Arabidopsis thaliana: one gene and its partners. The protein of the gene in region 3 interacts with the protein of the main gene of each other region in a biochemical or structural test. Each region holds a gene or a part of one and is shown on either strand. Other genes may lie near its edges.

The links.
Region 1: the proteins of SOS2 (region 3) and SOS3 form a complex in vitro, tested with the Arabidopsis thaliana proteins (3 studies listed by BioGRID, with this or other methods).
Region 2: of the proteins of SOS2 (region 3) and CBL10, one has a biochemical effect on the other in vitro, tested with the Arabidopsis thaliana proteins (6 studies listed by BioGRID, with this or other methods).

The regions. Positions count from the first base shown.
Region 1 is NC_003076.8:8,239,543-8,250,962, forward strand, and holds the start of SOS3 (Calcium-binding EF-hand family protein), read right to left. Parts: upstream 3,902-11,420; 5' UTR 3,589-3,901; exon of another isoform or gene 686-3,588; 5' UTR 638-685; coding exon 547-637; exon of another isoform or gene 445-546; coding exon of another isoform or gene 429-444; coding exon 346-428; intron 269-345; coding exon of another isoform or gene 256-268; coding exon 196-255; intron 109-195; coding exon 1-108. Other genes in the region: AT5G24275 (En/Spm-like transposon), read right to left, coding at 5,408-5,621, 5,699-5,836, 5,917-6,133, 6,230-6,344, 6,474-6,629, 6,729-7,010, 7,110-7,195, 7,277-7,343 and 6 more.
Region 2 is NC_003075.7:15,917,717-15,929,136, reverse strand, and holds CBL10 (calcineurin B-like protein 10), read right to left. Parts: upstream 4,789-11,420; coding exon 4,741-4,788; intron 4,419-4,740; exon of another isoform or gene 4,317-4,418; coding exon of another isoform or gene 4,299-4,316; intron 4,208-4,298; coding exon 4,039-4,207; intron 3,891-4,038; coding exon 3,808-3,890; intron 3,618-3,807; coding exon 3,558-3,617; intron 3,481-3,557; coding exon 3,372-3,480; coding exon of another isoform or gene 3,349-3,371; exon of another isoform or gene 3,300-3,348; coding exon 3,247-3,299; intron 3,178-3,246; coding exon 3,097-3,177; coding exon of another isoform or gene 3,085-3,096; exon of another isoform or gene 2,997-3,084; coding exon 2,884-2,996; exon of another isoform or gene 2,794-2,883; coding exon 2,739-2,793; 3' UTR 2,509-2,738; downstream 1-2,508. Other genes in the region: GLDP1 (glycine decarboxylase P-protein 1), read left to right, coding at 10-205, 286-411, 510-809, 890-1,042, 1,134-1,322, 1,409-1,486, 1,568-1,693, 1,781-1,879 and 2 more; AT4G32990 (Transducin/WD40 repeat-like superfamily protein), read right to left, coding at 6,479-6,553, 6,748-6,831, 7,089-7,158, 7,398-7,460, 7,659-7,730, 7,820-7,885, 8,011-8,075, 8,169-8,393 and 2 more. UniProt on the Arabidopsis thaliana protein: Acts as a calcium sensor. CBL proteins interact with CIPK serine-threonine protein kinases. Binding of a CBL protein to the regulatory NAF domain of a CIPK protein lead to the activation of the kinase in a calcium-dependent manner.
Region 3 is NC_003076.8:13,632,894-13,636,493, reverse strand, and holds the start of SOS2 (Protein kinase superfamily protein), read right to left. Parts: upstream 2,096-3,600; 5' UTR 1,877-2,095; intron 1,579-1,876; 5' UTR 1,562-1,578; coding exon 1,397-1,561; intron 1,311-1,396; coding exon 1,248-1,310; intron 1,150-1,247; coding exon 1,078-1,149; intron 993-1,077; coding exon 885-992; intron 788-884; coding exon 713-787; intron 645-712; coding exon 465-644; intron 341-464; coding exon 251-340; intron 148-250; coding exon 25-147; intron 1-24. UniProt on the Arabidopsis thaliana protein: Involved in the regulatory pathway for the control of intracellular Na(+) and K(+) homeostasis and salt tolerance.

The DNA of each region.
Region 1 (11,420 bases), 5.4 Mb from region 3:
TTTGACTTTTTCATGGACCGGCGCGCTTGGATGGAAGACACCTAAGGACCGGACAAATTCACCAAACTCGATCACTCCATTTCGCTTCACATCAAATACATCAAATATCTGCATATTATAAAACAGAACTTTGTTTAAATTTACATATGTTTTCAATAATGTCACTTGTTCTAGCTAGGTAGTTACTATATGTACCCGATCAGCGAAGAGATTCCTCCGGTTCCTATTTCTGAATAAAGCCAGCTGAAATTCTTCCTGCAACATCAAACTTTTAAACTCTAATTAAGCTATATAGATTACCTAATTGCTGTCTACATATGGACCTTTTAGAGTGAAAGAAGAAACCTTATGAATAAGACCATCATCGATAATTGAGCTGCTTAGCTTCTTGAACAGTTCATACAAAGCCTCCACTTCTTCTACCGTGACTATTGTCCCTCCCATTACAAGTAAAATAAAATTTGAAAAAGTTTACCAAACTCTACAACATGCTATTGTAACATTTAAAGATTGTCTTACTAATAAGATTTTAAACTAAAAACTAACATGGCGTGACGGATGCAAGAAGCTCGGGATCCTCATATCCCGGTGGTCGCATTGCATTCTTCTTCTTCTTCTTCGATACAGAGCAGCCCATACAAACACACCCTTCTCTCAACTGTTATTAGCCTTTGCTTTTCTCACGCTACAACCAAACGCAAATAATCTTGGTTAATTTACAGATATTTCATTGTTCCTAATAATTTGATGATTTTATAAAACACCCTTCGACTGAATCCTACATTCGTTTTCGCTGGTTTTACTTCTACTAAAAATGGTCCTAGAACAAACCAATTAAGATCGAGTGCAATTAATAATAGGCAACTTGTTTAGTTTGTCACGTTATTGACTTTTCTAGTGTTTTTTTTGTGGTCAAACTCAAACAAAGTAAACATATTTTGGCAAACTCACGAGATTACCAAAATGTTTCTAATGAAATTCAATATTTAATTACATATACATACATGAAATATTAATGTAGATGAGCACTAATCATGTACATCTAATGCATGTATATATATATCGTCTATGTATATGTAACATTTGAATTTCGTTAAAGGCAATCTAGCGTCGAATTCATCAAAATCTGCAAGAGTTTGACAAACATCGATATTAAAATTTTGAAAGGGTCGACGTTTGAGCAAATATACAATAGAAGTCGACGGCTATACGAACGATTATGTCATTGGTTTATACATTTTTTTTTTTACATAATAAATACATAGGATATAGGTGGCAAAGTTAGCCATTAAAATAGTTGTAGCTTTCACGACAGCTAGTAAGCTCTCCCTAAACAATCAATTCATTAACAGAAGTAGCCAAAATTAGAACAAAAACAGCGTTTTCCCTATTTAATCTATAATTTAGTAATGATTCACAATAAACGTAATGAAACCAAATATTATATAATTCACAGAAGGTGTAGGCAAGTCGCCGTATTAGCCACGCTAATGACTAGGTGTATAGATATAAGAGATAATTAGTTTACTCCTAATTTTATTATCCCTAATAACATAGATAAATGATCAAAGTCTCCTATGATATATGCATACATATAGATAATACATAAATACAAATACCGGATCAATATCAAATCTAATCGACGTTGGTCCACGTATATACATGAATCAGTCAATGTACTCTAGTAAATATCTACAAAGATGTTTTCTTTTCTTTTCCAAATAAGCTTGAACCTATGTCCAACTCAATCACAAGAACACATTTAAGCGAGTAATACAACCATGTCGTAAGTTTAGGAACATAATAAGAAGCCGGATAGGTTGAATAAATAACGGCTTTGAATGGTAACTCATTATCAAAGTTGTACAAACTGTACAACTTTGACAGTTACCATTCAAAAAAACTTTATCAAAAACGTTACAAAAAGTTTTATTCTAAACTTTTCTGTACAGCTCTTTTAGACAGTTTTGTACTATTTCGTAACAGTTTACCGCTCCAGCTAACAGCTAAAGTTTTGTGTTACCAATCAGACCCAACATGATTTAAGTTGTTTTGGTGAGTACATTTTTAAGTGAAGAGAGACTAGAATGGATTTTGAACGAAAAGGATAGAGAACTAAGAGAAGAGTTACAATATGAATGGCCATGGGACCACATTAAAAAGTGATGCTTTATCAAAAATCAATAATCACGAGATTGAGACAACCTTTTGTTGCTTTTTTCAATGTAGGCAATTTATATGTGTTTTACTAATAAATAAAACAAAAAGGGCTTGATTACACTTACACTAATATCTAGAGACTATATAGTATATTTAAATCTCGTTTTGTTCCAAAAAAGCCACGTAAAATCCTCAACCATACTAGCATTTAATTTGGTACATATCAGAGCCTGTCTTTGACCAGGCAAAGCGAATCTTGAACTTGGAACCTCAAATCTAATATAGTATATATTTGAAAACTACATGAGCCTAGTTGGTTAATTAATGAATCATTAATAATGATCAACTAATGCCTAAGGAAGGTTTTGGTGCATTTGGCTTTTCTATGACATTTCTAATTAATGTATTAATTTATGGACCATTTTGATTTTGTTATGTGTGGAGCCTCCAAATTCTCATTACCTGTTTTTTAGATCTATACGTAATCATACTCAATGTACGTCGTGTAAACAAACTTAGACATATCTAATTTAGAAGCAGTATTTTCATCTTGTTGTTTACTTCTCGCGATCTTTTTGTATAATTAATAACAAAAATGTTGTTTAATCAAACCGGCCACGCAGCAATATGACGTTTTAAAATTAATTATTTTCTCTATAAGTATTTAAATAGTAAAAATGAAAAAAAAAAAAACTTGCAGCTATTGACTTTTATAATTTATTTGCTATAAATAAGTTTATTAGGTGTGGTCTTTGATTTTTAGTAAGAAATCAAATTTGCCATCTCCTCTCCTTAGACTCTAAATCACCAAAAGTGACACAAGAAACAAAAAAACAGTTCTAAATATCTAATGGCTACCAACTAATTAAACACCCACCAAAATCGAACCGAGATGGACCAAACCGGATATGATCCAATTTGTAATCTCTAATCTGAAATAACTTGATTTCGATTGAAACCAAAACCAAAGCCAAATTCCATTGAATGATTAATGGAATGTTGGAAACTATACACTCAATTAGAAGAAAAACAAAAATCAAACGGTTCAATTCAGTCTATAGCACTAAAGAACTCAATTGAGTCAGTTTTAAAGAATGGTTTTGCTTTGGTTTGTTTGTTTTTTCTAATATTTAACCGAATTATACTAAATCTTATCAGAAGATTCCTGGAAACACGGACATATTTTGACTCTTTCTTGAAGAAAACCCAAGATGGGATAAACTTCAAGCTCATAAACCTCCATTTCGAAAAAAAGAGAGAGGAAAACAGTGAATTCCTTTACATATATCTTGAGGTGGACTAAAAATTACGAAACAGAAAACCAAAACATGGAAGTGATAGAAAAAAAAAACATTGGATAGAGATGAAAGATTTTCTCAGCAATGGTGAATCGAAGAAACAAAAAAAATAAGATCAAAAATAACTAACCAAGATATGGATGAATCTCTATATGTTCTTGTCGACTCTTCACTTGTCTCGATCTTGAATAATTGAATAATGGTGTTGGAAGAGGAAAAGGGCAAAATGAGAGTTATTTAAATAGAAGAACAAATTTGTGACGAGCTTCCCAACATCGGGTTAGGTTTGTGTCCGTCCATGCGCAGATGGATCCCGATGTTATGTCGGTTTTGAAAATATATTTTTATATCGTGTACTATAAACTATATAGCAATGTTTCCTCGACCTTCTATTTATGACAAACAAAAAAAATATTAGAGTAGTACTGTTTTCAAGTCCCACCTCACTTTTTAATTTCCTTTTGTTGACACTTGTGGTGGTTGTTGGCAAATAATCTTTTAAAAAATTATAAATATGAGAGGCAGTTTTTGATATAAAAATAACCTAAAATATTATTCACTTCTGAAAATACACCAATTTTAAAAAAGTTAATTATATATTTCATAAGAAATTTTGTCTTACACCTTCGCTTGATGTGTTTGTCTTGGACCTTAGTTTGATGTTTGATATAAATAAAATGGACACTCTTGTGACCAAAAAAAAAGTCGCTAATATATTTCTTAAACTAACTAATACAAATTTTCTTACAGATGATTGATAATTACATTTATACGTATGCTCATTTTTGTAGTAATTATTATGATTCCGATAAAAATGAACTCGATTGTTTATGAAAATTTTAACAATTACCATGAAAACGTAACTATGAAAGAGATATATCACATTCATCATCGTCAAGCTACCAGATTCCACAATGTACATCACTTTTTATAGGGTTTGGAACTTGTCAGCTGATCATACCCGTCCTATAAGAGAGCTTCCTACTCTTACATAAAAAAAAACATGACAACACTGAAACTACATGTGCCTAACTTTTCTAACTTTCGTCATGATCCACAGAGTTTTATTTTCTTAGTTCAATTACAAAATCTTTATTTTATTTATAGTTGACCCATCATTTCATTTGCACTTTTTCAATTAAACAAAAAATTACGATGTGAAATGATAAATTTTCCTTCACTTTTTGCCCACTAGTATTCTCTTTTTGTCTGTTGGATTGGTGATATTTTAAAAGTTTGGTTTTGCTACCATGGCTATTTTCTTATAATATGTTCGTTATGGTTCAAAAAATCTAGTTATTTAAAAAGATCATAGCAGCAAGATCAAAAACAAACTTTTGAAATAGAAAATTGGTGAACAAAATACCATTAACCGAAAAAGAAAATGAAATTTCAGAACAAAAGTGACTAATCCAAAAACACAAAAACCAAACCGATAACCAACAGGTAAACAAACTGTTTGAATCGTTTTAGGTCCAGTTTTACTCTCATTACTCTAAAGACTGAGACTGGATTAGCTCTAATGAGTTTGTGACATTGTGATATTTTTCATTTGTTTTCTTCATTTTCTTGTCTACCTTACGCATTGAACACTTCTCCTCCTCTATCTTCTTCGCTGCCATTCTCACTTTATCTCTTGCTGCTTCCATTTTTCTCAGCTTCACTTCTTCATCCTCCTTTAGTGTAATCGGGAAATGAAATTCCGGTATGCTGATCCAAAAACCATAAATCATATCATCCGCAGTAAATACAGATGCAAGGAATAAAACTCGAGTTTTGAGCTTTACAGTTTAAATTCAAGAACTAAAACGGATACAAGGATCAAGAAAAGGTCAAGTACCTGCACCCGGAATATATGAATCCGTTATCTTTTGCGATAAAACCATCTAAAGAGACTGCACCACCACCATTGATGTGTGGAAGAGCTGCTTTAACTTGCTTTTGGGTCTCTATACCTGTAAATTCCCAAAGAGATTATAGAACAAAGTCTCTCTAAGCCCGTATCCTGAGTAAGTTTGAACAGTGAGCTCCTCTGGAGCCAAATCAATCATGTTCACGGCATAGCCCTTGAAACCCGGTATGGGATCTCCATCGGGCAGCTTTGGGTCATCCATGGCTAATTTCTTCTGAGGATCGTTCTCCAAAAGTCCATCCTTCCAAGGTCTGCGTGTTTGAAAAGATCACTTATGATTCTGTCAGAAACGACTCTAAGGTTTAGCTATCGATATGTTGACAAATACCTGATTGCATCAAGACATAGAACATGAAACCGATGATTGGACTGAAGCCTGAGAAACTCAGCATTATTAGGTCCAATTTGTGCCGATTTGCATACCAAAGCGAGCAACATGTCTTCTCCCAAATATTCAGATAACACCCTGCATACCAAATGACTTCAGATACAAAAGTTTTGGCCACTATGATCAGTAGTAACACTGTGGGTATAAATTTATGTCACCTGCTAAGGGAGGTGGAGGCAACTGAACCAAGAAGTGCTACGAGGCCAAATACTCCTTTCTTTGACAGAAACAGTGACTGTGGAGGCGGTGACTTTCTGTACAAACAACAGAAAACTGATGCTGCAGTGTCATGATGCTTCTCTTCAATCTGTTTCATCATTGATTCTTTGGTGGATAGGCATTCTGGGAACATAGCACCGAGAGGTTCTAGAGAAGCTGAGATAAAGGTTTAGGCAACATGAGCAGGTAAGCATCAATGCAAATTCAATCCCCATCGTAGTTATCAAAACTTCTTCAAATGATAATAGTTACCTTGCAAGGTACGCAACTCTTCCTTAGCCTGGTTTTGTTCAGCTTCCAAACAATGTAGGCGCTCATCTATTTCCACTCTGTGTTCACTGTATCCAATAAGATTTTCTTTAAAGCTCTGCAGGAAAATTCAAAAGTTAACTCGGAAAACAAAAGTTAGATCATTCGAGAAATCGTTCTGCTTTTCCTAGGCATAAATGAAATGTAAACATCAATATCTGTGGCTTAAATGGTGATGGCCATATACCTCAGTGAACTGTGCCACATCCCTCAGGCTCGGGCCAGTTTGGCTACTGAGAGCCGGTGAATATGTGGTTGAAGCCATCTTTGATTTAGGTGTTAAACCCATCCTTGAATAAGATGTCTCATCTCTTTGAAGTATTTGAGCAGGTGTAAGCTGAATCTGTAAATCAAGAGGACATGTTATCAACAACCGGCATTTTCTACTCATTGTAAAAACATATTGCAACTTGTAAGATAACTCAGTCCACAACATTACTACCTTTAAGCTCAGATGAAGCTCGGGAAATCGAGAATGGAAAACCTTGAAAGAAAAGACACCCTCCCTCTCAGGTAGAGAAAGAGTAGGAACTTTGCAGGAACCATGGACAAAGGCATATCTGATTTCACTCTCATCGCTGCTTGAATCAGTTTCAATGCTCATTGTATGGAAACATCCAGATTTTTCATCATGATGGATACTAGTATCCATAACACCATCTGAATCCGTCACTTTAAAAATGAGGTTTGTAAGATTTGAACCAGCAACACAGCATTCAGGCAGCTGATCAAAACAAACGATTTCAGAATGAGAAAGACAGAATAAGAGAAACAAACTAAGACTGCATTGACACAATCAAACCTATGTTACAGATATACTAACCTTTGTTAAGAGCATGAGCTCTCGTCTCTCAGTCTGAGACTCTTTCTTGAAGATCTCATCAATACCAGACATAACCGAGAGAGATACTACATATTAAAAAAAAAGACATTAGAAAATAAGAAGATATGAATTATTACATCTTACAAAAGAATGGTAGCAGATGTTACTAGTTTTCCCATAGCCAGCCGTGACTTGGAGTATTCCAGACAGATCAATGCAGCCACAACTATTAACCTGTGACATCATCAATGAACTTAGAAGAGTAAATAGAACATTGCTAAATTCTTGTTCAGTGATAAACAGAACATTCTCGCACCTTTTGGTTTAAGCCCATCGAGTCATTGATACAATAGCCCTCAATACATATCAGAACATTGGTACCTTCTGCAACATGGTTATTATATCCATCGAACACCTGCATAAAAAATATTGTACATAGCTTGATTTGATGTAATTATTCAATACTTAACAAATAGACCTTTACCTCCAAGATATAATTTTGAACAGTAGAACCTGGAAGCAAATTCTCCAAAGCCTCTGGATACTTCTCAACAACATGCTTCAAAGGTCCAGGATTAACTGAAATATGAAAAGCTTGTGAAGTAAATTATCATTCTACAGAAAAGTACTCTTCTAAATCAGGTTAGTTTGTAACTAAAAACATTTCCTACTGTTGTCAATTTTCTCTGTTCCATAAACAAAGTAGAAATTATAAAAATGTCAGTTAGTTGGAGTAACACTATTTAAGATTTTGCAGCACAGACATATTACTATACAAAATTAAAGCATAAGGCTTACCTTTACAAGAAACTGAGACAGAAAATGGTTCATCAACGCAAGAGATAGAGCAAGGAGGAAGTGAAGAACCCACCCTGTAGACACACCATTATATTGATCAAAGTTGAGATCTTAAAGTGCAGGAACAAAAGAAAGGTCACATGTAAGGAGTCTTACTGAACATTATACTGCCGCGTGGACTTGAGATTAGAAGCAAGTTTCCAACTTCCCACTTTCGAAGACGGTTCAACAACCACCCTTTCGTTAGTAGTAATCGAGTTTCCCTGATCCGCAGTTACACCTAGATGATAATAATACCAAAAAACACACATTAACCAAGTCTTGACACAAACCAAAAGTTTTTACTTCTTCTTAGTCCTTGTCAAAATCTGACTCCTTACCCTTAATATCCACTTTCTTCCATGTCAACTTTGCCTTTTTTCTGCCTCTTTCACTTGTTTCTTGAAAACCGACTTGAATTTCTTCTCCTTTTTCTTCTTGTTCTTTTGCCGTTGTTGTGCGTGTTCTCTTTCTCCCGTACATCCTCTCCACCTTGCTTCTCTTCTCACTTGACTCATCTTCTTTCTCTTTCTCTTTATCTGTTTCAGTCTCATCTTCTTCCAAGTCATTCTCTTCCAACTCTTTCTCTTTCTCTCCATCTTCCTTCTCACCTTTAGTATCTTTAGCTTCTTTTAGATTCTTCACACATGATTCCACATATGTAAGTCTTGTATCCATGTCATCAATCTTCATATATATTCTGTTTAAACCATCTTCCAACTGCTTCTGTAGCTGCTCAACAATTCCTTTTTCACTCACCTTCTTCAGAGCCACCTTTTTCCGACCAACTCTTACCCCAACAACATTCGCATTCTTTGGATTTGCCTCAATCTCACGGCTACTAACATCTTGGATATGAAGCTCTTCAAAACATATTGGCTTATTTTCCTTAATTATACGCTTCGTCCAACCATCAACAATCATATCATCCACATCATCATGTCCAACCTCATCATCCATGATTTGCTTCAAAAGTTCTTTTTCACTAGGAGATGGAAGCATGATACTCTTAATTTCCTGTGAATGAAAAAAATACAATTTGTATCCTATACTCTCAATTAAAATTTAAGGTAATAATATACGATTAAATCATTTCTAACCTTTGTTGTACCAAGAGTATCATACAACTCCGAAATAGGAAAGCCTTTCATACTACTAGGTTTGAACTTCATCTTGCACATCCTAGGACACTCAGGATCTGCTTCTCTAACATGTTTTCTAAAGTTGTTCATTAGATTTGGGATGGTCTCAAACGCTAGAAGCTACAGACAACACCAAAACATTCAAACAGTAGTTATACCAAGTTATACCAGTTGTAACCAGTTTATATATCATAAACACATTCAAAATACATACCTGCATCACGAAGCTAGGAAACACCCATGCTGCGCCCAATTCTTCATCAAAGTGGTCCATGAGATGAAAAATGTCTTTCATATTCTTATCAAATGCTAATCGACCCCATGGGAATGTTTTACACCATTCTAGATCTTCCACGGATTTAAGAAAGAAATCTTCCACAGCCTCTGCTTTTTCCCCTGTTTTTCTCTTCCCAATGATGACGCTGCATAAGAAGAATAGGACCGCCATTTTCAAACGCTCTCTCGAAGATTTCTTCATTGAGAGTAGTTTTGTCTTCACTTTCGCATATGTTACTGTTGCACCAACACCAAAATGCTTACCAGAGAACCCTAAGCTGCCAAATGCTTTATAGTTTTTTGGATAAGAATGGCAGTATAAACCAGAGATGAGTGCAAGTTCTTGAAGAGAATAGCGGATTGGAACACCGTTGACAACAAACCAACATTCCTTCTTCTTATCAACACAAGCGGTGCGAAGAAGAAGCATCCACATGGCCATTACCTTGTGATTTGAATCCGTATGCATATGGAAGAAATGTTTGAACTGTGGATGCTCCCAAAACCATTTCTTCTCCTCACTTGAAAGATGACTCTCCAAAATATTCACCACTTGATGAATATAACACTTTGTTCCTATCTTGAATGGCTTCAAATAATCGGAGGGGCTAAAGTACATTTTCAAGGGTCGTAATGGTTCAGTTTCCTCTTCAGAATCCTACAATCAATATCAAGATGTGCCAAGTTACAAAATCATCTGAGTTATACCAATTTCTACTAAGTTGTACACAGAAACATACCATTGAAATTTGCTTAGTTTCTTCATTATCATCTCCAAGCAACACTTGTTCTTCCGAAGGATTGTACTCTTCACTCTGGCTCGGGTTCTCTGTACGCGCCGTCTTACAAATCTATAAACAAAACCAACAAAAACGAAGAAATTCATACTCGGACCTAAGTAATAACCTTGTATTTTAAAGACACATAAACTTGTAATTATATATGTTAACTATCACAAGTATTATTATTGAGAAACTTAAAATCAGATCCGCAAAAGCTGTCTCAAAGCTATAAGTTTGTGTAGTAACAGAGCAAGTAGCACAATGAAAAAACAAAAAAAACAACGACTCACATCAAGACGGAGTACATTGCACAAATCAGGCTTAAACTTGTCAAATCGAACGATTTCTTTAATCTTTTCGCCGTTAAACTCGAGATAATATTTGACAGCCAAATTCCAATCAACCCGCTTCCTCTTCTTACCGGACAATACACATTTGTTCAGGCTTTTCTCATATTCCTCTTTCACCAAGTTAACAAAATTATTCATTGACATTCTAGGTTCAGGGTTGGTAAGTGCGAGTGTCACACTTGTGCTGTTTGGTAAAAGAACCTTGAGCCTGTAAAACTTATCTTCTGCTTCATCATCATCTAGACTCAATACTCTCCCGACCGATCTCTTATTACTCATCTGAAATTCAAAGCACATGATTCAGAAGATAAGCTACCAAACAAAAAACTCATAATACAAAGGTACATAGAAATTAACTAACAAACTTTTAGTTGGTCTAAAAACAAGAATTGTAAAAGGCATGCATGAATACGAGTTTTATACATTTTATTGGAAGTTTGTTACAAATTGGGTATAAAAAATTGTTTGGTGACTAAGAAAGCAAATATACTGAAAGCTACATATACATCTACTAGTACAAGTGCATGTAAACACAACCACACTTGAAAAAAAAAAACAGAATCTATGTAGATTGATGATTTTCATGTTATATATTCAATAAAATAAAACAAGCCAAAATGGGAAGACTAAAGTTGCCAAATAACAAGTACATTGTAATCTTCTTCTTCGCTACCTGCTCACTAAATAGCATAATCTAGGGGGCTTATAAGAGAAGAAGATTTTCAAAAACAAAAGACCACAGCAATATATTTATAGACCAAAAAAAAAAAAAAAAAAAAAAAGATCTTAGGTTTTGTCAGTGATCCGATACCTTAGAATTTGAAGACTGATTTCTGTTTGAGTAATCCACCAAACCCCGACTGAGAAGAAGGAGAATAAAAGTGAGAATGTTGGGAATATAAGAAAAGGAAGAGTGATGGCGTG
Region 2 (11,420 bases), on a different chromosome or scaffold from region 3:
TATGATTAGGTACCACACAGAGCATGAGTTGCTTAGGTACATCCACAAGTTACAGTCAAAGGATCTATCACTGTGCCACAGCATGATTCCGTTGGGATCTTGTACGATGAAACTAAATGCAACAACTGAAATGATGCCAGTCACATGGCCAAGTTTCACTGACATTCACCCTTTTGCTCCTGTTGAACAAGCACAAGGTTATCAGGTTAGTGACTTTCTTGATTCATCTGAGGTCTGATTTAGAAAGTTGAACAATGAACTGATATCTTGTCCACATGTATGTAGGAAATGTTCGAAAATTTGGGTGACCTCTTGTGTACGATCACTGGGTTTGACTCTTTCTCGTTGCAACCTAATGCTGGTGCTGCTGGTGAGTATGCCGGGCTTATGGTTATCCGCGCATATCACATGGTAACATCTTTTATCCTAAATTTGGATCTTATTCTACCTAACAATCTTCTATTCAATTGTATTAAGCTGAAAAGTGAATGAATGAATGCATTTTTCAGTCAAGAGGAGATCATCACCGTAATGTGTGTATCATACCTGTCTCTGCACACGGTACAAACCCTGCAAGTGCTGCTATGTGCGGGATGAAAATTATTACAGTTGGAACTGATGCTAAGGGAAACATTAACATTGAGGAGGTGAGAAAAGCTGCAGAAGCCAACAAAGACAACTTAGCTGCTCTTATGGTTACATACCCTTCAACTCATGGAGTCTATGAAGAGGGCATCGACGAGATTTGCAACATAATACACGAAAATGGAGGTCAAGTGTACATGGATGGTGCCAACATGAATGCACAGGTGAAATATCTTACTAAAACAGAACACAGAGATCTTGAATTTTCTCTAATTTGTAAGAGCATGGTGTTGGGTACGTGTAGGTTGGTTTGACGAGCCCTGGTTTTATTGGAGCGGATGTGTGCCATCTCAATCTCCACAAGACCTTCTGTATTCCTCATGGAGGTGGTGGTCCTGGTATGGGTCCCATTGGTGTGAAGAATCATTTGGCACCATTTCTTCCTTCTCACCCCGTGGTTAGTCTTTTATCCTTCATCACTTTTATGTTTCTTGGTGATTGATGATTAATTCCTTAATTTTTTGTTTCTTCCATTTCCATGTATACAGATACCGACTGGTGGTATCCCACAACCCGAGAAGACAGCACCTTTGGGTGCAATATCCGCTGCACCATGGGGATCTGCGCTTATCTTGCCTATATCTTATACTTACATTGCCATGATGGGATCTGGTGGGCTCACTGATGCCTCTAAGATTGCAATTTTGAATGCCAATTACATGGCAAAGCGCCTAGAGGTAGTAGAACATCTTTGTCTTCTATTTACCTATTCATCTTTTGAGAATGAAAGGAGTCTAATTTTCCTCTTGATTTGTTTTTACAGAAACACTACCCAGTTCTTTTCCGTGGTGTTAACGGAACAGTAGCACACGAATTCATCATAGACTTGAGAGGCTTCAAGGTATGAAAATGTTGTGAACTGAAATTAAAGTAGTTGTTTTGGGTATGCATATCACTGACCGATTCAAATATGAATTTGTAGAACACTGCTGGAATAGAACCAGAGGATGTGGCGAAACGGCTAATGGACTATGGATTCCATGGACCCACAATGTCTTGGCCTGTCCCTGGAACTCTTATGATTGAGCCAACCGAGAGTGAAAGCAAGGTAAATATGGATATATGCAGATCTCTCATTGACTCTTTCTTCTCTCAGTGTATCAACTTGATGAAACTAAATAATATTCGTTTGCAGGCGGAGCTAGACAGGTTCTGCGATGCTCTCATTTCAATCAGGGAAGAAATTGCACAGATTGAAAAAGGAAATGCAGATGTCCAGAACAACGTTCTCAAGGTAATTAGGAAAACAAAGACTTATCATAATTATATCCAATAATAATATTGTTCGGAGAAGTTGAGATTCATACGTTGGTGGTTGTTTGTTTTCTCAGGGAGCTCCACATCCCCCATCGTTGCTAATGGCAGACACATGGAAAAAGCCGTATTCTCGAGAGTATGCTGCTTTCCCTGCGCCTTGGCTCCGCTCCTCCAAGTTCTGGCCCACCACAGGTATTAGACCATCCAAGATATAGATTGCACATTTGGTTTTCGATTCAGTTTATTCTGGTTTCGGAATTCTGATATGTGACAAATGATTGAAATGTGGAACAGGGCGTGTGGACAATGTATATGGAGACAGGAAACTGGTGTGCACTCTCCTCCCAGAGGAAGAACAAGTCGCAGCTGCAGTGTCTGCTTGATTACTGCTCTGTCCCATTGTGTTGTGTCCCTTTCTCTCACCACGCACTCTTCTCTTTCACATTCTGTCCATAGTGTTCTCATTATACGCTTTCTGTCTCTTACTCTATTATTTCATTCGAATACATCTTCTATAAATTATATATTCCACAATTGACCGAAAACAAAACACAAACTTTGGTAGAATCAAGACTTAAATCAACTATACTGCCATAGACGCAAGATGAAAAGAAAAATGCTTCATTACTTTCAATGGAACAATTACAGTAAAGTCATCAAAACAAAGCAAAGTGCTTGACAATTTTACTTACAGCTAATAATCATCAACTACGTTGGCTTAAAATAAAATAAGGAAAACCTTCTTTCCTCGTTCTGCTCTTGCGCTATGACAATCTCACTCGAATTACAGGACCAAGCAGAAAAAAGATGACCGGTGTTGCATGGACAGTTGTGCCTCAGTCTTCAACCTCAGTGTTGAATATAAAACTTGGGAATGCTGTCGTCACATCCCTTCAAATTCAAATACAGATATGGTTGATGATAAAGTAAAGGAAATCCTAAATGGAAGGGCTAATCTAAAAAAGAGAGAGGATTTGGTACTTTAGGTAAGGAAGAGTCATATTCTTCAACAAGCTAGGATGTTTATGCACATAGACATTCCATTCATCCTTACTAATTTTACCGTCTTTGTCAGAATCTGCATCAGCAAATGTCTAGCAAAAACAAAGTAGAGAAAGAAAAGAAGCATGTGCTAACTAAATTTACCAAAATATTATACATCACACTAAGAGAGATGGGATTTCAAGAACTCACTTTATCAATAATCATGGTCAGAAGTTCATCGGATAGCATCATATCAGATTCCAAGAGAATAGCAGAAACCATTTGTTGCACCTAACAAGTCCAACTTATTATGAAGCTGAAAAGAAGGGTTGCAACTTGCAATGGCAGATTATTATTTACCTCTTCTCGCTCAATGAATCCAGTTTGTCTTAGATCATAGAGCCTAAATGCAACTGTCACAGATAATAAAAGCATATGCTTGAGATCATCCAAGGAGTTATATTAGTAGTAATATTGATCCTTACAATCGGTCTTCTCCTGGATTGATGCATAGGGATGAAAGACACTGAGTGCATGGATGAATTCCTCAAACTCAATAACCCCATTCTTCTTTTCATCGAACAAATCAAAAACCTGCAAAACACCAATCAATATAAAGTAAAAAAAACTTTCATCTCAACAAGTCCAAGAAACCATGAGAAGCCACTCACCCTATCAAGAAAGAGGTTCTCACCATATGGAGCTTGGAACAGCGCCAGTCTAAGCTCTTCCTAGGAAACCAGAAATATCAAATTTCTTCATAACCATAAATTATAATGAGAGATAACTATCATCTAAAAAGAGCAAACTTAATGCCTTGAAAGCAATGAATCACACACATAAAGGAAAAGGAGTCAAGTGATGATCATCAACCTATGAAAAATTCACCAACTAGACATATCTGAGAGAGAAAAAACAGACCTTGTGAATCAAGCCGTCATCAATAATTGAACAGCTCAATTTCTTGAATAGCTCATACAAAGCTTCAACTTCATTGACTGAAACTGCAAAAAAGAAACAAACTTTTCAAACTTATCAACTTCCAAACAGAGTCATTTCGAAGACGCATTGATCCAAGAACGTATACAACACATTGGACATGAAATGAAAGAGAGAGAGAGAGAGAGAGGCAAAAACAAAAAGAAAACCAACATTGAGATTCACGAGCAAGACGTTCCAGATCCGCGTGCTGACATGTCCGAGGCGATGTGCTGCGGCAATCGAAGCATTGTCCGACGGAGGAAACTAGGACATCGATAATGGCAAAGAAAGGTATAAAGACGGCGCAGAATTGCTCTCCGACAGTGAGAGAGCTTGATCTCTGTTTCACCAAAACAAAACAAGAACAAGAACATTACAAAAAGACAAAATCAGAGAAGAAATGAGAAATCAAAGTAGTGAGAAAAATTTACAGAGGAAACTTGTTCCATGAGTTCATTCAAAATCACAATCACAGTCTTCCGGACTAAGTGGCAACTTTGATTCTGCTTCACTTATTATTTTTTCAGTTTATCAAAATGTCACGCTAATATATCCGTCATTTGAACCATTCTCTAAAATCAAATGAATGTACCGTCCTTGGTGGTCCCCATTTGATTTTTTTTTTTTTTTTAAACAAAATAATATATTATGGAATGGCTAAACTGGTAAACATATATATTGGTGAAGAAGAAAAAAAAGAACAAGAATAAATATAGAGCTTTTTAGTTTTTATTGGCTAAAATATTATTTTCTACGTATATGTATTTTCAAAATTACATTCAACTTAGAAATAAAACAATAGACAATGTTATATTTTCAGATTAATATTTGTCACTATCCTATCATTGAATGTAATTTTGAAAATACATATACAGTAGAAATTTTCAATGCTAAAATATTATTTGGTCGGCCAGTTGTCATGGATCAACTTAGTCGATGACGATCATGTCTTATCAAACTCTATAGTTGAAGAGCTAATTGATTAATTTTAGCAACTTTAGCCATTCCAATATTTCCATACACAAAGTGGATTAGACGACGCAAAAGATTAAGGATCTTTTTTTTTTTGCGGTTTGCACGATGCTAATAAGAGTGGGTGTGCTACACTCTGCAATTCCTCTGTTTCTGAAACATCTTTTCCAGAGTGAACACAAAAGAAGAAACCAAAAAGCTCTTTATTGCACGTGTTTTCTTCTCAACAAAACTCATAATCTTTCTTTTTAATTGGGTTGCCTGAATTTTCAGCCATATACTAGTTGGAATCTCAACTTTCCACCCTAAACTTTTAGCCACTTGAAAAACCTCCATAAACAATTTTAATCTCGATAAAACTACATGTACTTTCGGATTTATTCTTAAAACTACGCCTCCAATTGAACCGACCAGTTAACCGATAATTATACATCCGATTTGATTTACCCCTAATTTAACCGAAACTAATCTGATTTTGACTCTATTTTAGCCTAATTTTGACCCACACAAAATGTAAATAAATTGTCTTATTAAGAAGTAAAAGTATTTTTATTAATTTGTATTTGTGATAAACAATTAAAAATATTAAATTATTACTTAATTTTAGCAAAACTTAATATGACAAAATATACCCCAAATTATATTTTGAGCTACATTTTGTTATAAAATTTTGATAATATACAAACATATACATTTTCCTTTTGGCAATCATTTATATTTTTTTATAAATTTAAAGCTATGTCTTTTTTTAAACAAAAATATTCATTTTTCTTGAAATCATAATATATGACCTTTGAACTCTATATATGTAATAAAATTCAAAATATATGCCAAATTTATTTTTATAGATATCCATAAACACCACAATCAAAGTATATCTTATGGTATTTATAAATTTATTTTTCTTTATAGATTCAGTTTTCTTTTTATATATTCAAGATGAGTTATATATGTATATATATATATATATATTTATATATGATTATGGTGTTTTTAAAAAGAAAATGGCTTTTGAATTATTAAATTTAGAGTATATACCAAATACATTTATATATATAACACCATTGTATTTATAAAAAGAATTTGTTGTCTATTTTGTTATATTATTTTGCGGTATATTTTGTTATTTTATTATTTTGGTAAAATTAATTAATTTATTTTTAATTTTTTATCAAAAATAAATAAAAATAAATAAAAAGTATTTTTCTTCTAGAGAATATATTTTTTGGGTATAAATTGGGTTAAAATAGAGTCAAAATCGGATTAGTTTTGGATAAATTATGGGTAAGTCAAACCGGATGTATAATTATCGGTTAACTGGTCGGTTCAATTGGAGGCGTAGTTTTAAGAACAAATCCGAAAGTACATGTAGTTTTATCGAGATTAAAATTGTTTATGGTGGTTTTTCAAGTGGCTAAAAATTTAGGGTGGAATGTTAGTATAGGGCTGAAAATTCAGGCGACCCTTTTTAATTTAAATAGAGATATCCTTTCTCTAGTTTTTGACAAGCAAAGCTGCATCTCTGTGTATACTAAAGGAAAATCTAACTAAGAGAACACATTCCTCCTACTTAAACAATGAAATAGAAATTCTAACTAAGTTAGAAACCAACAAATTAAAAGAATATGTATCCGTCTGGTCATGGCTCCGAGGCAAGTTTCCAAATCTTAACCATTTTATCGTCGCTGGCCGAGGCAAGCAACCGGCTTTCCTTCTGCAATGCAAATCTCGATTTCAGAATCTTTAGCAAGAGATGATTCGCCGTATATGCTAAAACTAGTTTAAACAAGAAAATCAAGCTTTCAATTTTTTTTATGAACCAAACTCAGTACCAACATACGAGTAAGATTACCCTGCATTTGTTTACATATTTAGCCAATTACTCCTTAGGAAAGGAAATGAACTTACATCAGGTGCCCATTGGACCGAATTTACATCCATTTCATGTGCTTTCTCCTTCTTAACCAAAAGTTTGTATGAAGGTCCATCAACCTGACACAATGATGACCAGCTTTTCAATTTGGCTGTACACAAGGTATATTGTATGTAATGAAAAATCACTGGCTAGAGTCTAAAGCAAACGAAAAATTCAATCAAGAAACCATGAGCTTTGGTTTCTTGTGTTGTGCTACAATGATGACACAGAGCATATGCCAAGAAGTAAACCGGACAAGATATGGTTAATGATATTTTCTAAATGATACTAAAAGAGGGATTTGTGATTATAGGTAAAAGGGACAAGGGCATACAGAGTCACTGTCGCTGTCCACAAATAACTGTATAGTATCATCGCCTGCTCCACTAGCAATAACACCGTCCCTATCAAGGTATCAGATCTTATCATAAACTTATGTCGATCTATCCAGTAGGACACATAGAAGACAATTAATATTGGTCAGCAAAGCTTATTACTAATTTAGCTTTATTTGATCAATGAACTAGATTAAAAAAGTGCATTTATCAGGTGTAAGAAATCATCTTCTTGGTTGGCATGGGAATATAGTAGGACTTTACAATTGTTTCTTTCAAATCCCTCAAAAGTGACAACAAGTCTATACCTTGACCAATGAACTGAATATATGGTACGATCGTGAAAACCAGAGAGTGTACAAACATGAGTCCTGCAAAAATCAAGCACGTAAATATTTCATTAGCTACAAGTTAGAACATGAAATCCCTAGCAAATGAAGAATATTCAACCGCATGTATCTTATGTCAAACTTATAGACCATACAATAACAAAAAATACATCTTCAAAAGAGGAAAGATGTATATGCTAAACTCTATGAAGTGATAATTGAATGCCATTATATCCTCACCAGGGTACATATCCTTCACCAGATTGCATCCTTGAAATATCTGTCTTCCATATTTTCACTGCTAGATCATCACTGCAAAGTTCAGACAATCCAAATGTTAACAGACCAGGTAACAGAGATGAAATCTCCTATCCGAAACAATGGGGAGAAGATTCACCAACCTACAAGTGACCATCTTGTCCCCTGCAGCATTAAAAGAGATACTCCAGACGGTAGAAGAATGACCACTGAGTGAAGATTAAAGGCAACATATATTACTAAACGCATAAAAGAAATATCAAGAAAACAATAGCATCAAGGTAGGAAAATTTCAACATGTGAGAAGTAAAGAAGAGACAAATAGAGGATATACTTGTTAAGTTCACTTAAGGTTTGTACACAATTATAATCACCATCTTCATCCTCAGAGCACCAAATCTGTTAATAGAAACACAAGCATTGCAGTTAAATGCTTATGCATAGATATGACACCAATTCATGAAAGCACATTTGAAGCATTGTTCTCTTAACCTTGATAGTGTTATCATAACTGCAAGAGAACAAAACATCCATGGTGGGATGCCACAAGACCATCTTAACATCTTCTGAATGACCAGTTAACACTGCAATAGTATCAAATTCATCGTCCTCCTCTGGTTGTATTTCCCAAATCCAGACAGACTTGTCTCTACCACAAGTTGCAAGCAACGAACCAGATGCATTCCATGATACACTTTTGACTTCGCTTTCATGTCCCTAAGAAAATTCCACGAGATTTTAAAAAGTCAAGAAACCCAGAGGGACATCAAAGCCCTACAATAAATTTCAGTTGTCAACAAACACATAAAGGATAGGCCTTTGAGATAGTACATTTAGTACCCGTAAAACAGAGACAGACTCGGAGTCAGTAGCAAAATTTTCCCAAACGCAAGTATTGCCATCGAAACTTCCCAGACGGTGACCAAGCTAACGACTTCACACTTCTTGTGTGCGCGCCTTCCAAAACAGCCTGACCAATCACGAGGCTTCATGTTCATTAGTGACACATTATCTAACAACATCAAATTCGAAAGAAAGAGAGAAGAGAGACCTTGCAGGTCCAGGAACGAGTAAGAGAACTCTGCTCCCAGATTCGTACGGTCTTATCGGCACTGCAGGAAGCAATAACACCGTCAGCGGCGGGATTCCAGGCGACGTTCCAAACACGATCAGTGTGACCTTCAAGTTTCTGAACCTCCTCTAACCCTAAATTCTTATCCATCACTTTCATCTCCTTCTGGATCAGCAGAGAAGCCTATAAGTTCCACGAAAATCAAATTTTGCTATATATATAATATCGGCCCGTCGAGGTAAATAACAAAAGTTAAAGCATATGGTTAAGATTAATTTCCAATAAATTTTAGAAAGTCTAAACAACCTCTCAAGGTATTTTAAGAAGATACTTTTTCCAATAAAATAAAATCTATGGAAAATATTTGGAAGATATGGAAATATTGAGCTGTAAATTCTCATTTATCTGATTTGTAAATTTTCTTTCCAATTTTCTAAAAGTAAAAATTTACTTTAATTTTTTTTTGGGAAAAACCACACCTTTTAATGTATTGGAATAAGGTGAATGGTTTGGGCTCTCTCAAGGGATGTCTTTCTTGCATTGCATCATCTTCTATTCTTCTTCTATCTGCATTGCATCAATGAATCCACTAAAGTTTGGTTCCTGGATGGGTGGTGATAGAGATGGAAATCCAAATGTCACGGTAAAGGTGATAATGAGGGCTTGCTTTCTACATTACTTTTTTAGGGTTAGAATTTTGCTGGTCACTCAACTTGCTAACACACTTTGCTGGTCATTAAGAGTGAGTCCTTGATTTCTATGTAAAGATTAACTTGCTAACACACTTGGTTTTATCAATAAATTTCTTGTTCACAGAAGGAGTATTGCATATGTTTAGGTGGATGGCTATCGATCTTTACGTAAGAGCGATTGACATCTTAAAATTATACGCCGCTCTGAGAATGAATGTGTGTTTTCTGACCCTCAAGTGCTTCAGACACTGAGAATGAATGTGTGTTTTCTGATCCTCAAGTGCTCGACTTCTATATTAATTCGAAAGGAGTTAAGATCAAGTAGATTGTTGAACCTCAGTGAACTAGTTAATGCCCTCTGTGATCATTTATTCCCATTTTGCTTAGTCTGCCTATATATAATTCTAAGTCAATGAACTTGTATAATATTCTAAGCAAGACATCAGTAGCATATAGTATAAGTTGATACACAATAATTAAGCCAAATGACTTGGGAAATTATACGACTTCAGATAAAAAGCGCTCTAGTCTATGGAGTAGATTAAGCATCTGCTGGTGCTGGAGTCGATAGGCTCCATAGCCAACGTACATTTTGTTTCATTTTAGAAAAAGCATTACAAGTTCTTGTTTGGACTATCAGACAACAAAAAAAAGTAACTTTTATAATTCGCCTAGGACCCAAAAGTTATGAGCACGGGTCTAATAGTCTAACATTAATAAGTGTTATTGATTAAGATCGTAGGCATGATTAAAGATGCATTCCAGCTTCAGTTAATAGTCGGTACTATAGTTCCTAGTGTTATTGATACTATTCTGCTTTACTAAATCAAAATTTCAAACTATTAAATAATATAGACTTGTAAGCAAACAATAATAAGGATATGATATCAATAATTATCGATTTCTATTGAAAATAATTTTGTCCTATACGAACAACAATAACTGTTTCACCAAATCAATATCCAATTTTGCTTGGAGTGGCCATGCAAGATACTTGTCCTTGACCCTTTTCTTTGTCTCATACCAGCTTAGAAAGTCATTGTTTAGGCAAGTACCATTAACATTATTTAAAATACAGATCAAGTCACGCTAATACAGATCAAATCAAGTACCATTAGATTTTCTTCTTCTTTTGGTTGTAATAAAGAAGAGCATAATTTCAGATGTTGCAATCTATATAGTCTACGAGTAATAGAGTTCAATTCCATCATCATTAGCCATGATAATAAAGACGTAACACATAACGACACATTGAACTTAAAATAAATAAATAAATAAATAAAAATGATAAGAAAGGAACAATCAAAGAAAAGGCCAAGCAAATTGATTGATATTTTTGTAAAGCTTACGTAAAAAACTTATATGAAAAAAATACGTAAATGGATATAAGATTTGATGGCACAATACAAAGACACGAGTGGTGAGAAAAGAAAGAAGAAAAAGCAAGAACCCAAATGGATCACACATCTCATCAATTCTCCTTAAATGGCTAAAAAAGATCTCACCCTTCTTTACTTTTTTCCCTCTTTCTGATTTGTGATAATTGAAACCAGCACAAGAAGACAACACCATTTTCTTATAACTTTATAAAATTTTATAAATAGAGACACATACATATATATATATATAGAGACATGTAAATAGTAAAATGTAGGGTCTCTTCCCTAATTTAAAGCCTGCAACAGAAATGAGTGCACTTCTCTGTAGTAAACAGTAACACATCGGTCTTCTTCATGTCTTTGGATTTCTTTTTTGGATTTCGATTCTGTTTCAACCATATATTTTCTTTAGATAATTTTACTAGATTCATCTCTTTCTCTATGAACAACATTTTAAATAAATGACATTTTAAGAAAGTGATTATATATAAGATTTTCTTGATTCTGATTTATCTTTTTTTTTGGTCGGAAGATCTTAAAGATATGAAAATGGATTCGTGTCATAAACAGAGGCAGCTCCGTACGTGATTTGGCCCTCCTT
Region 3 (3,600 bases):
ATATAATGAAGGCGAAGCACAAACCTCAATTCCATCAAAAACTGCACGAATATCATCCAAATTCACTTCTTCTTCTTCCCTTGCTCGTATAGGCACATAATTTAATCTGAACCAAGGATCTTTCTTGATTCCTTGAATTTGAATACGCTGCTCTAATTGAGAAACAATAATAGATAAACAGATATAATTACTAGAACATTAAATATCACCAAAACCTGATAGCTAGGAGAGAACAAAGCAAAATACTCACTGTTTTGGGATTGGGGTCAAGTATCCTATGTATTAAAAACTTCACTTCTGCGGAAAACCACGGTGGACAAGAAAACTCTGCTGCATTTATCTGTAAATAACAATGTGTAAAAGCTCAAAACTAAGGGTGAAATTGCAAAACCAAATCAATAAACGGTTTGACAAAAGCCATGACAAGGAATTCATGATTTCTTCCCGAAAGATATGTTACTTACTTTTCTGTACAACCCTGGAAGATCCGTCTCGGAAAAAGGTAAATATCCAGCCAATATAACGAAAAGAATAACCCCGCAAGACCAAATATCAGCTGCTGAACCATCGTAACCCTGTCCACTAAGTACCTCTGGAGCTACATAGTTCGGAGTTCCACATGTGGTACGCAGAAGTTCTACTCCCTGATTGAGTATATAACAAGTTAATGACCACGTAAGCAGACTGCTGAAGCAGAGATAAGAGCACTTACTTCCTGAGGCAATGCACTGAGTCCGAAATCCGAAACCTTCAGATTTCCATTTGTATCGAGTAAAAGATTTTCTGGCTAGATAACATAACATAGCGACACAAAAATATCAAGTCTGGATTGCAACGCAGTGAGATATTCTGAGGAATATTGGTAAACAAAAACACGTCTTTACCTTTAGGTCACGGTGGTAAACACCCTTGCAGTGACAATGAGCAACAGCATCTACAAGCTGTTGAAAGTATTTCCGAGACTCACTTTCTTCAAGCCTCCCTTTATGAACCTGCATGAAAGATTTCATATATTAAAAAATTAAGTAGAGAGGTTTTAACTAATGGACGCTGCCTACAAGTATGGAAGTTCCGTACAATTCTATCAAAGAGCTCTCCTCCTGTCACAAACTCCAAAACTATATATATTTTCGAAGGACTCGCCAACACCTACATCGGGAAAATCACAAAAAAACAACAGAAGAACAATGATGCAAAAACACTTCAGAGATAAAATTTCGCAGATGCATGGAAACAAACAAACATACCTCATACAACCTCACTATGTTCGGGTGACGAACAATCTTCATTATAGATATCTCTCTTTTTATCTGTAAAAGAGCTTTAAACGAAATCAAAGATCATACCATTGACGCAACAACCTTAGTTTCCATGTAAAAAACAATCCAGAACATACCTGATCAACCATTCTGTTCTTAAGTATTGTACTCTTAGCCATAATTTTGATGGCTACATTATCACCAGTGTCTGTGTTCCTCGCAAACTTAACCTTAGCAAAGGTTCCTTCACCTATTGTGCGACCAACCTCGTACTTGCCCACTCTTCTCATTTTCTTTGTCATTCTTTACAAACTTTTATCTGATCCATTGACCACAAGCTATCAATCAGATTATTCAGAGACTTAGTAAAAACCTCTTTCCTTAAACGTTTATGATTTCGATTTCAATTACTTTACGTATTGTTTGCTAATTTTAGCTCCTACACATCCATATATACAAAATTACTCTGTATCCATAATTTTGATTTCGCAGCATAAATCAACATAAATTCGATCAAGGAAACGACGAAAAGGTAAGGATCAAGATCATAATCAATATATAAAATTCGTACGGCTGGAATTGCGATTGGGCGTAGTCGAAAGAGAATCGTGAAATACCAGAATTGGATTCGCAGAGAAGGGTTGATGAAAGAGGCGTAGGAGAGAAGGAAGGCTCGTGATGCGATTCGCGAAAGCCGTGAATCGTCGATGCGAACGTCCGTGCAGATCCGTTGAGCATTTCGGGTCGGGTTATTTGACTGTACCCGTATACGACCTGAATTAGTCGTTCGGGTCAATTATCCGTTTGGGTGATTAAACTTTTAAAAACTAACATTGCATTTTGAATCTTTCAATTTAATAATTGTGAGGTTTTCAAAATTTAAAAAAGAAAAAAAAAACTAATCTAATATCACTTATCAATTTAGTAAATTATTTTTAAAAAATAAACATATAGTATTTTCAAAATTTATTTTAATTTTTTTCAAATTATCTAGACTATGATTAATCGAACTCAAATTAGTAAAATTTTCTATTTTTAACTACAAATTTTTAACTTCATTTAAGTCAAGCAAGGTTCAAAAAAACCAAGAGAACAAGGATGTCTAAGTTTAAGACAAAGCATACAAAGATACTTTCCAATGCTACAAAGTGATATATAAAAAAGTTCGATAAGGATTCGTGAGAGTTTGGAAACAAACACTAGGGAAAAATTTGGCGTAAGTGATAACACGGTTTATCGACGGTTCATTCACAAAGCAATGGTCAAAAAGATGGTCACGGTCAATATACTAGGTGATGTTGAAGAGGCTTTTATGGCCTAGATTTTCGCCGGCACGAGAAGAGCTTCATCAACAAGGAAGAGGACTATGGTTCTATAGTCGGTTGGGATTTGCTTTAAAGGTTCAAGATCTTTTTTAAAAAGTTTGAAAACTTCTTGATAGTCCTATAGTCGGTTGGGATTCACATTAAATGTTCAAAAATCATACATACAAAGTAACGATGACAATGTCAATGAAAAATTGGCAATGAAGATGATAAGAAGGAATACAAGAGCAAGAAAATAATGAATGTGAAGAGAAATATGAAATGTAGGTGTTGGTGGCTAATTGAATATAAGAAAAAATATTGATAAGAATGAAAAAGTATTACAGTAATATTTTTGCATTATTAAAAATAAAAATAACTATACATTAGTACTTTTGCATTATGTTTTTTTATATAAATAACGTAAATGAAACTTACAAAACAATTCCGTTAAAAAGTTATCAATAGTAATTTTTGATTATTAACTTATGATCATATGTAGGGGTGTCAAAATGGGTCAAAATTCATGGGTCAACTCAACTCAACTCAACCCATGAACCCTAATGAGTTGAAATTTTTGACTCAAATGAGTTGATGAGTCAAATGAGTTGATGAGTCAATTGGTTTGATGAGTAAAATGAGTTAGGTTGTAATGGTTAATGGTTTCCATGGTTTATCCAATTAACCCATCAAATTTTGTAAAATTGAATAAAACCAACTAAAATCTCTAAACCAATGCCAATTTAGGTTTAACCAACACATCTAAACCAATTTAATAAAATTAATATTTTTCCAAATTTCTTAAATATACAAGCAATGAAATTGAGAAAAAGTAAACTCGTAATTTTTCCACCAAAAAACATAAATCCGTGATTTTCCCGCAAAAAAAAGTAAACCCGTGATTTTCTCGCAAAAAACGTAAACCCGAGATTTTCCCGCCAAAAACGTAAACACGAGATTTTCCCGCCAAAAACGTAAACCCGAGATTTTCCCGCCAAAAACGTAAACCCGAGATTTTCCCGCCAAAAACGTAAATC